3 linked regions of the Macaca mulatta genome follow. The protein of the gene in region 1 purifies or fractionates together with the protein of each later gene. This does not show direct contact. Links are inferred from orthologs where the notes say so. Each region holds a gene or a part of one and is shown on either strand. Other genes may lie near its edges.

What was found.
Region 2: the proteins of CDC25B (region 1) and CDK1 purify together in Homo sapiens (affinity purification with western blotting; 4 studies listed by BioGRID). This does not show direct contact. The link is inferred for Macaca mulatta from reciprocal best matches to the Homo sapiens genes CDC25B and CDK1.
Region 3: the proteins of CDC25B (region 1) and FBXW11 purify together in Homo sapiens (affinity purification with mass spectrometry; 14 studies listed by BioGRID and IntAct, counting the BioPlex papers as one, with this or other methods). This does not show direct contact. The link is inferred for Macaca mulatta from reciprocal best matches to the Homo sapiens genes CDC25B and FBXW11.

What each region holds. Positions count from the first base shown.
Region 1 is NC_133415.1:80,270,743-80,275,871, reverse strand, and holds the start of CDC25B (M-phase inducer phosphatase 2), read left to right. Parts: upstream 1-1,684; 5' UTR 1,685-1,798; coding exon 1,799-1,823; exon of another isoform or gene 1,824-2,056; coding exon of another isoform or gene 2,057-2,066; intron 2,067-2,253; exon of another isoform or gene 2,254-2,474; coding exon 2,475-2,676; intron 2,677-3,541; coding exon 3,542-3,669; intron 3,670-4,325; coding exon 4,326-4,377; intron 4,378-5,129. UniProt on the Homo sapiens protein: Tyrosine protein phosphatase which functions as a dosage-dependent inducer of mitotic progression. Directly dephosphorylates CDK1 and stimulates its kinase activity.
Region 2 is NC_133414.1:89,038,738-89,043,711, reverse strand, and holds the start of CDK1 (cyclin-dependent kinase 1), read left to right. Parts: upstream 1-1,790; 5' UTR 1,791-1,806; intron 1,807-1,838; exon of another isoform or gene 1,839-1,861; intron 1,862-3,380; 5' UTR 3,381-3,405; coding exon 3,406-3,442; intron 3,443-4,974. UniProt on the Homo sapiens protein: Plays a key role in the control of the eukaryotic cell cycle by modulating the centrosome cycle as well as mitotic onset; promotes G2-M transition via association with multiple interphase cyclins.
Region 3 is NC_133411.1:180,721,496-180,725,824, reverse strand, and holds part of FBXW11 (F-box/WD repeat-containing protein 11), read left to right. Parts: intron 1-1,057; coding exon 1,058-1,307; intron 1,308-3,733; coding exon 3,734-3,852; intron 3,853-4,329.

The sequences.
Region 1 (5,129 bases):
GTAATCCCAGCACTTTGGGAGGCCGAGATGGGTGGATCACCTGAGGTCAGGAGTTCAAGACCAGACTGGCCAACATGGCAAAACCCTGTCTCTACTGAAAATAAAAAATTGGCCGGGAATGGTGGCGGGCACCTGTAATTCCAGCTACTCGGGAGGCTGAGGCAGGAAAATCGCTTGAACCCAGGAGGCGGAGGTTGCAGTGAGCCGAGATCATGCCACTGCCCTTAAGCCTAGGTGACACGGTGAGACTCCATCTCAAACAAACAAACAAACAAAAAAACCCAGAACCCCTCTATGGTCTTGCCCACCTCCCCACTCACCGGCCCAGAGGTGACCTGACTGGGATTTCAAGGGATTCAACAGTATAATGCCCACCCTGCATTGTTGCCCTGTATGTTGGCTGGGTGAGGGGTAGGGGGGATACCTGCTGTGTTTATTTTGAAAACGCAAATCTTGGGGGTTTTATTTCTGGTTTTGGGGCTGGGTAGCCTCACAAGGGCACTTCCCCCTTCCCTCCTGGCACTAAGGGCAGTCACATCCTCACTGGAAGTAGTGGCTGGAGGTCCAGGGCATGACCCCTGACCCAGGGAGGATGAACCGGAAATTCAGTCTTGCAGAGCCCTCTGCACAGCACAGGAACTGGGCAAAATGTGGAGAAAAGGAAAGGTCATGGTTCCCACGTTGGCCACCCCTCTCAGGTGGGGCTGGGGTCTTCCCCTCCCCTTCACGTGCATTGGCCCACCAAGCCCCCCATCACCAGGCCGTCCCTTTTGCCACCCCCAAAAATTTGGGTCCGGGTGGCTGGGACTTCACTAGAAGGGGCGCTCCTGCCTTGCTGAACTGCAGCCCGCCCCCCAACTGCCCGCCCAGCCAGAGGCCACTTCTAACCTGGAGATACCGTATGCTATATGAAAGCTGCTTACTACCCACTGGCTTTTCAGTGCAGCCTTCAGCCCTCTTGTTCCAGGAGGCCTGGAAAACGGGCGGGGCTGGAAGGCATTTAGATAATTGGAAGATGGGCCTGGCGCTGTGGCTCATGCCTGCAATCCCAGCACTTTGGGAGGCCTAGGCAGGTGGATCACGACGTCAGGAGTTCGAGACCAGCCTGACCAATATGGTGAAACCCCGTCTTTACTAAAAATACAAAATCAGGTGTGGTGGCGTGCGCCTGTAGTCCCAGCTATTCGGGAGGCTGAGGCAGAAGAATCGCTTGAACCCGGGAGGCGGAGCTTGCAGTGAGCAGAGATCACCGAGTCACTCCAGCCGGGTTGACAGAGCGAGACTCCATCTCAAAAAAAAAAAAAAAAAAAAAAAAAAAGGAAAAAGAAAAAGATAATTGGAAGATGCTTGGCTTAAATGAATGACAAATTCAGCCTCTCTGGTCTGGTCATCAAAGAAACACCAATTAAATAATATGGTGCCATTGCCACCAAGTTAGCTAAGTCATCAATGGGCGTGATACTTAATTAACTTCTCTGGTTGCTGACACCCTCCTCGACCCCCAGCCGCGGAAATCCATGCCTAGTTCCACCATTCAGAGCCTCTACTGGGGCTGCCGCGAAAATTGGACTGGTTGGGGTAACATCTAACCTGGGGTCCCCCGAAAGCGCCCGTCAATTCCGCTTGGGGGCCCCACTGCCCTCCCACCTCCTAAGCTGGGCGCTCCGCCTGCGAATGACGTTTTGCTGCTGCTCAGCGCAGCCACTTGCGGGGGCGGGGAGGCTGCGGGGTCAGAGGCGCCTGGAGGGAGCGAATCCTGGCCCACCGCCTGCCCAACCGCGTGACCTTGAACGAATTAATGAACTTCACGCCTCAACGTCCAGGTCTGTAAAATGGGGTATCTAACGCAGACCGCACAGCCCAGCTGTGTTTAGCAAACTTCCGGGAGCCGGTTGGAGCCTCTCCCCGTCCCTAGCGGTGATACCAGGTGACGATATGCCGCGGGGGGTCCAGCGGAGGCCACCCTAGGGCGTTGCTGCTGCCTTTGGGAGTATGGAGCTCCAAACCATGTCGCGACAGGAGGATTTCGGGAGGCCTGGATCCTCGCGCCAGGGGGATGTGCGAGGGTATGGGATGATTCCTAATTCCTCCGGCCCACCCAAAGCCTAGATATCCAGCCTCCGCGCCTCTCGCCCTGAGGGCCCCGCCCTCAATCCCGCCCTCCTCTAACCCGCTACCCCATTGGTGGCGTCCGGCGGCGCGGCCGCTGTTATTTTTCGAATATATAAGGAGGTGGAAGTGGCAGCTGCAACTAGAGGCTTCCCAGGCTGGTGCCTGAGCCCTGCGTCCCTCGCCCCCGCCCTCCCCGCATCCCTCTCCTCCCTCGCGCCTAGCCCTGTGGCTCTTCCTCCCTCCCTCCCTTCCCCCCCTCACCCCCTCCGCGCCCGCTGCCTCCCTCGGCCCAGCCAGCTGTGCCGGCGTTTGTTGGCTGCCTTGCGCCCGGCCCTCCAGCCAGCTTTCTGCCGGCCCCGCAGCGATGGAGGTGCCCCAGCCGGAGCCCGCGCCAGGCTCGGCTCTCAGTCCAGCATGCGTGCGCGGTGGCGCCCAGCGTCCCGGCCACCTCCCGGGCCTCCTGCTGGGATCTCATGGCCTCCTGGTGTCTCCTGTGCGCGCGACCGCTTCCTCGCCGGTCACCACCCTCACCCAGACCATGCATGACCTCGCCGGGCTCGGCAGGTAGGACACCCCAAGGAGGCTGGATATGGGGGTGAGAGGCCCGGTCTGGAGTCCTGGGCCTCCTGGAGAACCGGGCATGGTATTCGAATCCAGGAGGTGGAGTCCGGGGGAGGCATCCTGGGCAGTGGAGAGGTACAGGACATGGGAGGTGAGACCTGGGCTGTGTCCCCCACACAGGTGACCTCCAGGTGACCTGCTCTCAGTCTACACAAGCCTCTCCAAGTCTTTCCCCTCACTCCCTCCTCCCTCATTGTGCCTCCACCACGCTGCCTCCCTAATCTCTGCCCAGATAGCCACCATTTTGCTCCAGGATGGGATTCCCAAGCCTGGAGAGGGAACTTGAGGGTGGCAGAGCCGTAGGGCACTCACACATCCATACCCCCGCTCCCTCCACCCCAATTCTGCCCCCAGAATTAAGGCAATTAATTAAACACTGATCCTGCTCCCTAAGTGCAAGGGGAGAGCTGGGTTGTTCCAGTAGGAGAACCTGGTCTTGGTCCATCCTTCAGGAAGAATCCTGGAAAGGTGGGGGTCTGACAGTTTAGGGGAAGGCTCTCCGGGGCGTCTCGGCTAGACCACCAACCCCTAGGCTGGTCTCCATCCAGGCCACCTTGCTCACACCCTGGGCTCACCTTCCCCTGCACCTGGGAGGACCTTTCCTAAACCAGTCAACAAAGAGAAGCCCCTTTAGGACCTCTGTAGAATGAACCTGCCTTGAGCTGAGAAGAGGGCCGGCCCTCAGGGCCATTGCTTTCCCGCTGTAGCATTTCGCTCAGTTCTTTTCTCAGTGAGGGAGTGGGAACGTGGGCTAGCGAGGCTTTGAACCCCACCTTTCTCCTTTCCCGGGTCCCTGCTCCTTTCCCAGCGAAACCCCAAAGAGTCAGGTAGGGACCCTGCTCTTCCGCAGCCACAGCCGCCTGACGCGCCTATCCCTGTCTCGACGGGCATCTGAATCCTCCCTGTCGTCAGATTCCTCCGAATCTTCTGATGCAGGTGAGGCCCAGGGGAGCCTGGGGAGATCTGCCAGTGCCAGGAGAGTTTGTGGGGGCTGCCTGGGCCTCTCGATTTCCCTGCGGATCAAACTAACATCCTCCCCACAACCTGGTGGGCCCAGGAGCCTTTCCCCCACCCTCCACAGAGATGGGAGGAAGACACACCTCATGTGGGGCTCACCACACCCAATGTGGACTGGCTGAGTGGATGAGAGGGTGGGGCCCTCTACGCTAGATGAGATCTTACCTGTGTAAAACCACACACCAAAGTTCTAAACCACAGCCCTACCTGGGAAGCACCCAGGGCTGAGTTGGTCTTGAGAACATTCTTAGTCTATAAACTCTTCTTTAAAAATCTGTTGTCTCTTCTAGAACAAATTGTTTGAAATCAGTTCAAGAAAAATGCTTAGCGAGCATTGTGGTTTAAAGACACATATAAAGAAATTTCCATAGTAAACAGGGAGTGGCATCCTGTACCATTTGGGAGACGATGTGTCAGCTCTCAGGGTCCATGATTGGGTTTTGTTTCATTTTCTAATGTGCCAAAGTCCAAACTAGAAACTTTTCTTTTTCTTTTTTTTTTCTTATTGGGACATGGTTGGGGAAAGTATACAGAAAGTGCCACTACTTTCAAACCAAGGTGCTCTGTCCCCTCAGGTCTCTGCATGGATTCCCCCAGCCCTGTGGACCCCCAGATGGCGGAGCAGACGTGAGTAGAGAAGGGAATGTCTACTACCAAGCAATCAGCACCTGCCTTTAAGAATCCTGGTTCTAGCATAAACTCACTGAGGAGGCCTGGGGAAACAGGCAGACCATGAGGTGGCTTCAGGATCCCCATGGCCGGGGGGCTCACTAACCTTCTCAGGCCTTGGGATTCTGCTCCCTGTCTCAGAGAAGGATCTGCTCTCATGGGAGCCAACCAAGAGTGGGCTCAGGGCCAGGGGTGGTGGGGACAGTGGCCATTGGGAGAGCAGATACTAGGCTACAGCCCATGTCTTGCAGGAATACAAGCCCAGCGTATGTCCCGTTTTTCTTTCTTGCCTATACCCTTTTTTTTTCTGTGAAATATTACAATTAAAAAAATATGATCCAGTTAATTCAGAACTTTAACTCACTCTAGGCCAAACAAAACACAGTTGCCTGCAGATTGATTTGGCTCTTGGCCAATGAGCAACCTTTGACTTCGATGACACTTGACCCTCTGGCCAGCCCTGGCCTAGGCTCTTTGTGCAAGGGAATGGAGAGAGAGTTGGTGGGCTCTGGCCTGGACAGACACCTTCCCCTTGGCTGTGGGCATGGGTGGTGTCTTGCAGAGCACAGCTGTTCCTGTCCAGTTGTTAAAGCCCAAGCAGCTGGGCAGCTGCCAGCCATTAGTAGGGACAGCTGGGCATCCCTAGCCTGTGCTGGGGACTGTGGTTTTGGGTTTAGGGTAGTGACTTGTCTTACCTCCCATTGCCTTTG
Region 2 (4,974 bases), on another chromosome or scaffold:
AGATGATACAGAAGTTGAATTCCTTGCTTAAGCCTCTCAAAGAGAAAGATATATTAAAATTCATTAAAACCAGTACCGTAAACTGCACAGAACAGCCTGGTTCCCTAGAGCATTTCTCTGGGGTAGTCAGTTTTCATTTAAAAAATGAAGTTTGGATTTTAAACATAAGTTTTAAAAGTGATTAGGCTCCAGCAGGAGTTCTTAAATTCCTGCCTATACCATGAATCCCAAATGCTCTGCCTCTATCACCTAGGAACAAAAATTATCAAGGTTGAGCCAGATGCAATGTATAATACCAGATGATAGATGCAGCTCATTGTGTTAAAAGGTATTAAACACTTAAATGCATGTGATATATTCTATATCACAAGGGTAAGGAAGTTCCATTCCATATTCTAATTTGGGTCTTCTAATACATACTTGTGGTGTATGTGGTAATCAATCTTTGTTCTATGTCCTATTAGGATCAATGCAACCAGAAATCCTTAAAATGGACTTTTATTATCTCTGGCTCTGTTTTACTGTTCTATTTGTTTATTTTAAAAAGATTTTAGAATGGTGTTTAGGTTGGGCTGGTGGCTCACACCTGTAATCCCAGCACTTTGGGAGGCCAAGGCAGGAGGATTGCTGGAGCCTAGGAGTTGGAGACCAGCTAGAGCAACATAAGGAGACACCGTCTCTGCAAACAAACAGGCAAAAAAAAAAAAAAAAAAAAAAAAAAAAAAAAAAGTAAGAAAGAGAGAAAGAAGGAAAGAACAAGAAAAAAATTAACTGCATTAAATGCAGAAATCTGTCTTAAGGATATTGTGGATGGCAATGAAGACAGAGTTTTTGACACTGGATTATTTAAAGCATAATTTAAACCTCTTTTTCTCCCCTCATAGAATTGTGAATTTTTGTGTTTTAATAATATTTAAGCTGGTCATGGTGGCGGGTGCCTGTAGTCACAGCTACGCTGGAGGCTGAGGCTGATTGCTTGAGCCCAGGAGTTGGAGGCCAGCATGCATAGCATAATGAAACCCAGGCTCTAAATACATGCCTCTCTCTATATATTTAAAATTCTGATGTGAAAATATTTTAAAATTTACATTTCAAATGTTTTTAATTGCATAATACACAAAATGTAAATAATAAAATAATTTAATATTAAATTCAAAAATGAGGTAGAAACAAAGCACAGCGATATAAATAATAAATCTTCCTTTACAGTTTTGAGACAGTCTTTTAAGTTTTCCATTACCTTCTTAAGGTCACTGAAAGGTGCTCCTTGGAGCCAGCCCGCAAATCACGCATTTAGAAAAACATAACTATACACTCCTAACCCTAAGTATTAGAAGTGAAAGTAATGGAATCTCGATGTAAACCCAATATCACTTTTTTGATGAGCTATTTTGAGGATAATAATTTTGAACTGTGCCAATGCTCAGAGAAAAAATTTAAAAGAAGAACGGAGCGAACAGTAGTTTCCTGCTCCGCTGACTAGAAACAGTAGGACGACACTCTCCCGGCTGGAGGAGAGCGCTTGCGCTCGCACTCAGTTGGCGCCCGCCCTCCTGCTTTTTCTCTAGCCGCCCTTTCCTCTTTCTTTCGCGCTCTAGACACCCGGGAAGGCCAGCCTAGCGTAGCTGGGCTCTGATTGGCTGCTTTGAAAGTCTACGTTCTACCCGATTGGTGGATCCGGGGTCCTTTAGCGCGGTGAGTTTGAAACTGCTCGCACTTGGCTTCAAAGCTGGCTCTTGGAAGTTGAGCGGAGAGTTACGCGGTTGTGGTAGCTGCCGCTGCGGCCGCCGCGGGATAATAAGCCGGGTACAGTGGCTGGGGTCAGGGTCGTGTCTAGCGGATGGCCCGGGGACCTCGAAGGGCGAGTATTGAAGAACGGGGTCCTCCTCTAAGAAGGCCGGACTGGAGAGCAGGGACCTGCGCGGAGCCAGGCTGGGCCTCGGGGTGGGGTGGGCAGGGCCTTTGCCTGGGCCTGGGCGTGTGAACCACACTGCGCCGGCTTTAGAGGGAGGCTATGGGAGCCCAGCCTGGCGGGGTTAGGCGGCGTGGGGGTGGGGGTGGGGGTTCGGGGCTGCAGTCGTGAGTTCAGGTCGGCTGTTTAGGAACTGCCTTAGGAGGCTTTCGGGTCTTGATTGAAGCAAAATCCGCTCCCCCACACTGAGCGCCAGCGGAGTGGCAGGCTCCTTCCTGGGCCCGGCCCCTGAGCGCCCTCCCATCCCGCCTCGGAGGTGGGAAAGCGGGACCGCACCTGGGCCAGGTACAGGCGCAGATTCCTAAAGCGAGGCTGCCCTGAGAAACCGATCCCGGAACTCGTGGGCCTTCTGGGGCTTGCTCTGCCCACGGCCCCGGCCCACCTGGAGCTGTTAAGAACACTCAGCCCAGGCACTTAACACTCATGAGCAGTGTAGTGCAGTTTTTTTCATTTAAAAAGATATATCTCTGCTTCTTTCTGGATTGATTTTTTTCTTTGAAGATGAATGTGGGAAATAGAACTTAAAGGTCTGTTCAGAGCGGGCTTTATAAATGATCTTATCATCAGTGATGGGTGTTAGAAAAATCTAGGTAATTATGCCTGGAGTTCTGACGTTTCATTGACAAACTTCAGAGGAAGTCTTGAACTTCTGGTTGTTTTTTGTTTTTTTTTTAAACCCATTCATTGTGATTCAGGTATACAGTTTTTCTGCTTAGTCCTTGACATTGTGTAGGCTATAATTAGAATTTTATCTGTGGAATTGCACTTTTCATTCTTTTGTTTTAGGGTGCTTAAGTGATATTTCCGACTCTTGGAAAAAGTACCTTGAAAGTCTTGAGCATGTTTGTGACCTCTGCAAGCAGAGGAAAAAAAGATTAAAATTGTCACGTGGGCAACTGGAAACGCTTAAAATGTTTTTGCCGCTTTAAACAAAATTTTCCTAATGAACAATCTGAACACATTTTAGTTCTCCCCTTATAACTATAAAAAATAGTGTTTTGAATAAAATTAGAAATATCATAAAGCGGTATAAATTTGTTGAAATATTTGGGTATAACTTTGGCACACTCAGATACTAGTGTCACAACAAGGGAACATAATTCTGGTTTTTCTTTGGAAAGAATAGACAAGTTGATATCTGAATTTGAGGGTTATTTTGATTGGAAGAAGCTAAATAAATACTACACTAGTATAGAATATACACGTTTCCAATGTCTCAGGAGTCCAGAAGGATGGAAAGTTATTGTAGGAGTCCTTACCCTTGTAAATATTGTTTGAATGTAGTTAATATTTATGGAATACTTATGTACTGCAGTAGGCACAGTGGAAAATGCTTTACATATAGTGTAATGCTAAAAACTACTCAAGTTAGTGGCATGTAATTAAGTCAGTTTTTCCTTCATTTTAGGATCTGCCATACCCATTGACTAACTATGGAAGATTATACCAAAATAGAGAAAATTGGAGAAGGTGAGTGGTTTTAGTAATATAAATTTTTGGGGATGATTTAACAATGCTACAACTTCTGTAATATGAACACATGTAAATATTTATTAAAATTCAACCATTAAGATGTCTTGTAGTACCAGTGTGCATTAATATATGTTCTTTACTTAATAAACGCAAATTTGTTCACATTTCAAGAGAATTGAAATTACTGAATCCCTAATGACCCATCCCTTCACCCCCATAGTCTTACAGTCTTCTGATACTAAAGAAGTATCAGAAATACTTGTATTTTGAAGACACTATTGATGACTTGCACATGTGTTGAGGGGCAGAGGTTAGGGATGCAGAATTATGCTAATTTCATAGTCTATTTTTAGTCTCTTTCAATTATTTTTAGGATGATAAATATTCTTATCCAGCCTTTATAGACTGGTTACAATAATTGACTTAATCTAATTTAAATAAAATTTCTATTTAGTTACCGTAAGAAAAAAATGACCTGTCATATGTACATGTTTAAGCTATTCTAAAACTATAACTTACGTATATAATCATTCCCTTTCTGTGGTACTTGAAGGAATGATCAGATCTATATATGGCACAAATGAGGGGTATATCCCTTCGCCTGTTCCTTGACTCCAACAGAACATTCTCAATTCTCCAGGTACAAAATAATTTGCTAGTAGAATCCAGTTTATATCGGTTCTGCCAGAAGGAAATTCACAACTATATTTTTAATGTGATCAAAGACCTCACTTGACAAGAAATAGTAAAAAAACAAGGGGGGAATACTGGAGGGAATTTAGTGAAATAGGAATGACAAGTTAGTGTGGTGTTCGATTGGAGGGGTGTGTGTGTGTATTTATTTTTATTTTTAAACAAATTAAATACCTCATACCCATTCTACTAAACACATTTTGCTGCTGAATTAAAAATAATGTGATTAGTATGTCTAATGCTTTGTAGTATGTTTCTTAAATTCCCAGGGAATTTGTGTTGATTTCAGTTTGGCATAAAAAGAGACCTTCTTAAAGTATAAATATATTTTTCTTTAAGATGATAGAACTCCAAACCTATAGGAAACTACAGATTTGACTTCTGAGAAAAGTACTTTAATTGCTACCATAAATAAGAGCAGTTAAGAATGTAATTTTAAATGTAATCCATTACATGTATTAAGTCATATGACTCCCATTCTTTATTTCTATAAGTGTGACAGTGGTAAACCCTCTAACTTTTCTGGATCTCGGTTTCTGCCTCTGCAAATGGTGATAATTGGACTTAACACGAAAGATACGATTCAATTGAACAATATTATGGAAAGCATTTGTTTGAGTGCTTTAACTCAGAAAACCTTCAAATGTATATCATTTGAACATTGTGTTATTACTATGAACACTGTCTCCAAAACTGTCTCTTTACCAGCCTCATCTAATGCCACTCAACTCTAATTCGGATTTCTTTGATGTCCTCAAATGTATCCTGTGATTTGGCCTATGAGTTTTGGCAATGGCTGTTCTTTCTACCTGGAGGCCAGTCTCTACTGGCTTCAT
Region 3 (4,329 bases), on another chromosome or scaffold:
CCAGAGATCATGTCTCAGCCTCAGAGGCCTGAGTCTTTTCCCCTCTGCCCTGTGTGAACTTGTCCTCTTAGGAGATGAGGGTTACAGAAAAGCCATGATGTGGAAGTGCTGCCCCCAAATCCCTGGACATACAAAGCAGTTGGGAGACCCTGGCTTTGTCCATAAAGCAGCTGAGTAAAGAAGTGGATGTGGTGATTGATGAGGCATCATGACTTACCCAGTTTGCAGTGGATAAATAATAGACTCAGAGGTCTGCCAGAGGTCAACAAGAACTGTAAGCTTGGAACCATTCTCAGTTCTTCAGCCAACAAGGCTCCTTCTTCCTTTTATCTCAGACTCAATACAAAATCTGCTTTCTTGAGGAATTGTCTTTTGCCATCAGCATGAGCCTGCAGACACCGTCCCTGAATACCTGACTGCTAAATACACCTAAACTCGAGCAGAGCCAGAATTAGCCACCTTTTCTGAAACCATCTCAGCACTTCTCAACAAATAAAGAAATTGCTTTTTAGGGGCACCTTTTAATCATGCCCTTAGGTTCATTAAGAATGGACCCTGTCTTAGTCTATTTGTGTTGCTATAAATGAATACCCGAGGCTGGGTAATTTATAAAAGAAAAGGGGTTTATTTGACTCATGGTTCTGCAGGCTCTGCAAGAAGCATGGTACCAGCATCTGCTTCTGATGAAGGCTTCGAGCTACTTCTCCTCATGGCAGAAGGCAAAGGCGAGCCAGTGTATGCAGATTACATGTGAGAGAGAAGCAAGAGAGAGGGCGGAGCTGCTAGGCTCTTGTCAACAGCCAGTTCTCTCAGAACTAAGAGTGAACTCCCTCCTATGAGAATGGCACCAAGTCATTCGTGAGGGATCCACCGCCATGACCCAGACACCTCCTGTCAGTCCCCACTTCCAACCCTGAGGATCAGTTTCAACATGAGATTTGGTAGAGTCAGACAAACCATATCCAAGCCATTGCAGACCCAGACAGAACTCAGATGCCAGAATCATTTCCTGGCTGTCTCCGTAATTAAGCATCATGCTTTTTCTCTTCTCTCCTAGGGTGTGGGATGTGAACACGGGTGAAGTTCTTAACACATTGATCCACCACAATGAGGCCGTACTGCACTTACGCTTCAGCAATGGACTGATGGTGACGTGTTCCAAGGACCGCTCCATTGCTGTGTGGGACATGGCTTCTGCGACCGATATCACTTTACGCCGTGTCCTGGTTGGCCACCGGGCTGCTGTCAATGTAGTAGACTTTGACGACAAGTACATTGTGTCCGCCTCTGGTGACAGGACCATCAAAGTAAGTATGTCTGCAGTCATAACCCAGCCTCCTCCTGTCCCTTTTAGAACAGAGAGAAAGCAGAGGTGGCTTATACCAACCTGGTACCTGGTAAGATCTTTATTCTCCTCTGTGCTTAGTGTAATGTTTTCAAGGTTCATCCATGTGCTTTGTAGCATCTATCAGCTTTGTCCCATTTTTGTTGTTGTTGTTGTTGTTGTTGTTTTAAGTACAGATGGGGTCTTGCTATATTGCCCAGACTAGTCTTGAACTCCTGGGCTCAAGCATTCCTCGGCCTTCCAAAGTGTTGGGATTAGAAGCATGAGCCACCACACCCAGCCAGTACTTTGTTGTTTCCAGTGGCTGAATAACATTTCATTGTTCTTCTGTTTATTAGTTGATAGACATTTTAGTTGTTTCTATTTTTTCGGCTATTACAGATGATGCTGCTATAAATATTAGTGTAGAAGTTTTCATGTTTTTAATTTTCTTAGGATGGTAACCCTCTGTTTAACTTTTTTTTTTTTTTTGAAGACAGATCTAACTCTGTCACCCAGGCTGGAGTGCAGTGACACAGTCATGGTTCACTTCAGCCTTGACCTCCTGGGCTCAAGCCGTCCCTCAGCTCAGGGACCCCTGAGGCTCCCACCTAAGCCTCCTGGCGTAGCTGGGAGTACAGGCACTACCAGGCCCGCCCCCCTGCCCATTTTTTTTTTGTAGAGACCAGGTCTCACTTTGTTGCCCAGGCTTGTGGAACTGCCAAAGTGTTTTCCAAAGGCACTGCACCGTTTTACAGTCCTGCCAGTGGTATGTGGGGGTTTCAGCTTGCGCAAAGAACATCCTTTTCATGACCAGCACTGGAAAGCATTCTTACACCTAGCCCCACAAATCACAAAGTGTGTAGCATCAGGCTTTAGACTGGATAGTTGGGAAGCTAAACAACTAGGATTTATATGTGGCAACTTACTCCCACAGTCACACCAATTGGTATGAGACCAGTGCCTGAAAGTTGAGAGGGTCTGAGCTTTATTACAAAACAGCTGTTTCATAATACCAGCATGGAGGATTTCTCCATATCCTCGCCAACACTTGCTGTTATTTGTCTCTTTTCTTTTATCTGCCCTAGTGAGTGTGCAATGGTATCTCTGGTTTTGCTTTGCATTCCCTTATTACTGATGATGCTGAACAACTTGTTGTATGCTTATTGACCATTTGTGTACTTTCTCTGGAGAAATGTCTATAAATCCTTTGCCCACTTTAAAAATTGATAATTTGTCTTTTTATTGTTGAGTTATAAGTTCTTTATATATTCTGGACACAAGCCCCTTATGAGATACATGATTTGAAAATATTTTCTCCCTTTCTGTAGGTTGCCTTTTCACTTTTTTGATGGTATCCTTTGATGCACAAATGATTTTAATTTTGATGATGTTCAATTTATCAAGACGTGCCTAGGTCCTTGATCCATTTTGAGTTAGATTTTTGTTTAAGGTATGAGGTAGATGTCCAATGCCATTCTTTTACATGTGGAGATATATTTATCTATCCCATTCAGCTGCAAATGCAGCTGTTAAGATAATTCAGGGCACTCTGGTTGCTGTGTGTCTCCTTATTTGTCTAATAATACATTGAGATGTCTATGAACATCTAAGTCTTTCAGATGATATCACAAAAGAGGGGATTATTTATTCTACATACATACAATTAGAAGTAATGTGTCAAAACAAATGGAGCTGTTCAAGAAAATATGCTGGAAAAGAGGATTATATGAAAGATGAAACTTTTTGTTTGTTTTTTGAGACAAAGTCTCGCTTTGTCACCCAAGCTGGAGTACAGTGGCACAAACACGGCTCACTGCAGCCTCAACCTGCTGGGCTCAAGTGATCTTTGCACCTCAGCCCCCTAAATAGCTGGGACCACAGATGTACACTACCACGCCCAGCTAGTTTTATTTTTTGTAGTGATGAGGTTTTACTACGTTGCCCAGGCTGGTCTCAAACTCCTGAGCTCAAGCAATTCTCCCGCCTCAGCCTCCCGAAATGCTAGGATTAGGTGTGAGCCACTGTACCCAGCTGGAAGCTTTTTTATTACATTAGCTTCATTGGGTTTGACATGTCAGCTGGTGTAAAAACATAAAATCTGGCCCAAACTCTTTCCTCCAGGTAAATGAATATCCAAACCATCTAGGAGATGTTCTCTTTGTAAAGATCTCAACGACTGGAGACTTCACTTCCCTCCGTGTTTCATTCCAGTGTTATTACTCAGCAGCCAAAGAAAATGTTATGCTGTCTAGTCTGCCCTCTAGCCTCCCAACTTTGAGTTAGAGGACACTGTATTTTATAATCACATATTTGGGTCATTCTCAGAAGCTGTCTTTTTAAGAAAGGTATATTGTGGGAGGACTTTTCCACATTCATTCTTTAAAATATTGTTAATTTGTTATACAGGTCTGGAGCACGAGCACCTGTGAATTTGTCCGTACTCTCAATGGGCACAAGCGAGGCATTGCCTGTCTCCAGTACAGGGATCGGCTGGTTGTTAGTGGATCATCAGATAATACCATTAGGTGGGTAGAAGTTGGTGTGCTGACAGAGCAGGCTGATTCTTGCCACGTTGTTGACTCATCTCCTAGTTCTAATGCTCAAAACAACTCAGAGTAAATGGGATGTTTCAGATAAGAAAGCTTTAGGTAACTTTTAGAAATGTATTTGGCTCTGTATACTCAAGTGGGAAAACCGTGTATGCCCTGGGTGGTCTTCCAGTGTTCCCCCAGTACATAAAGTTTTTTAACCTCAACTCCACCCAGGATCACTTAATATCAGAGCACTTCAGAACAGACTAGGGTGCTGCAGCCCAACTCGCTCTGACTTCCCTCACCTGTAAGCTCCCAGCTCCCTACCTAATACATGGGAGTGTACTTTATTTTTCTCTCCCAAGACTGCATTATGGAATCATCCATTCCTGCCGGGATCGTTTACCTCCATTTTTCCTTCCCAGCCCTCAGCCTCCTTGCTTTCTAATAAATCTAACTAACCTTAGACAT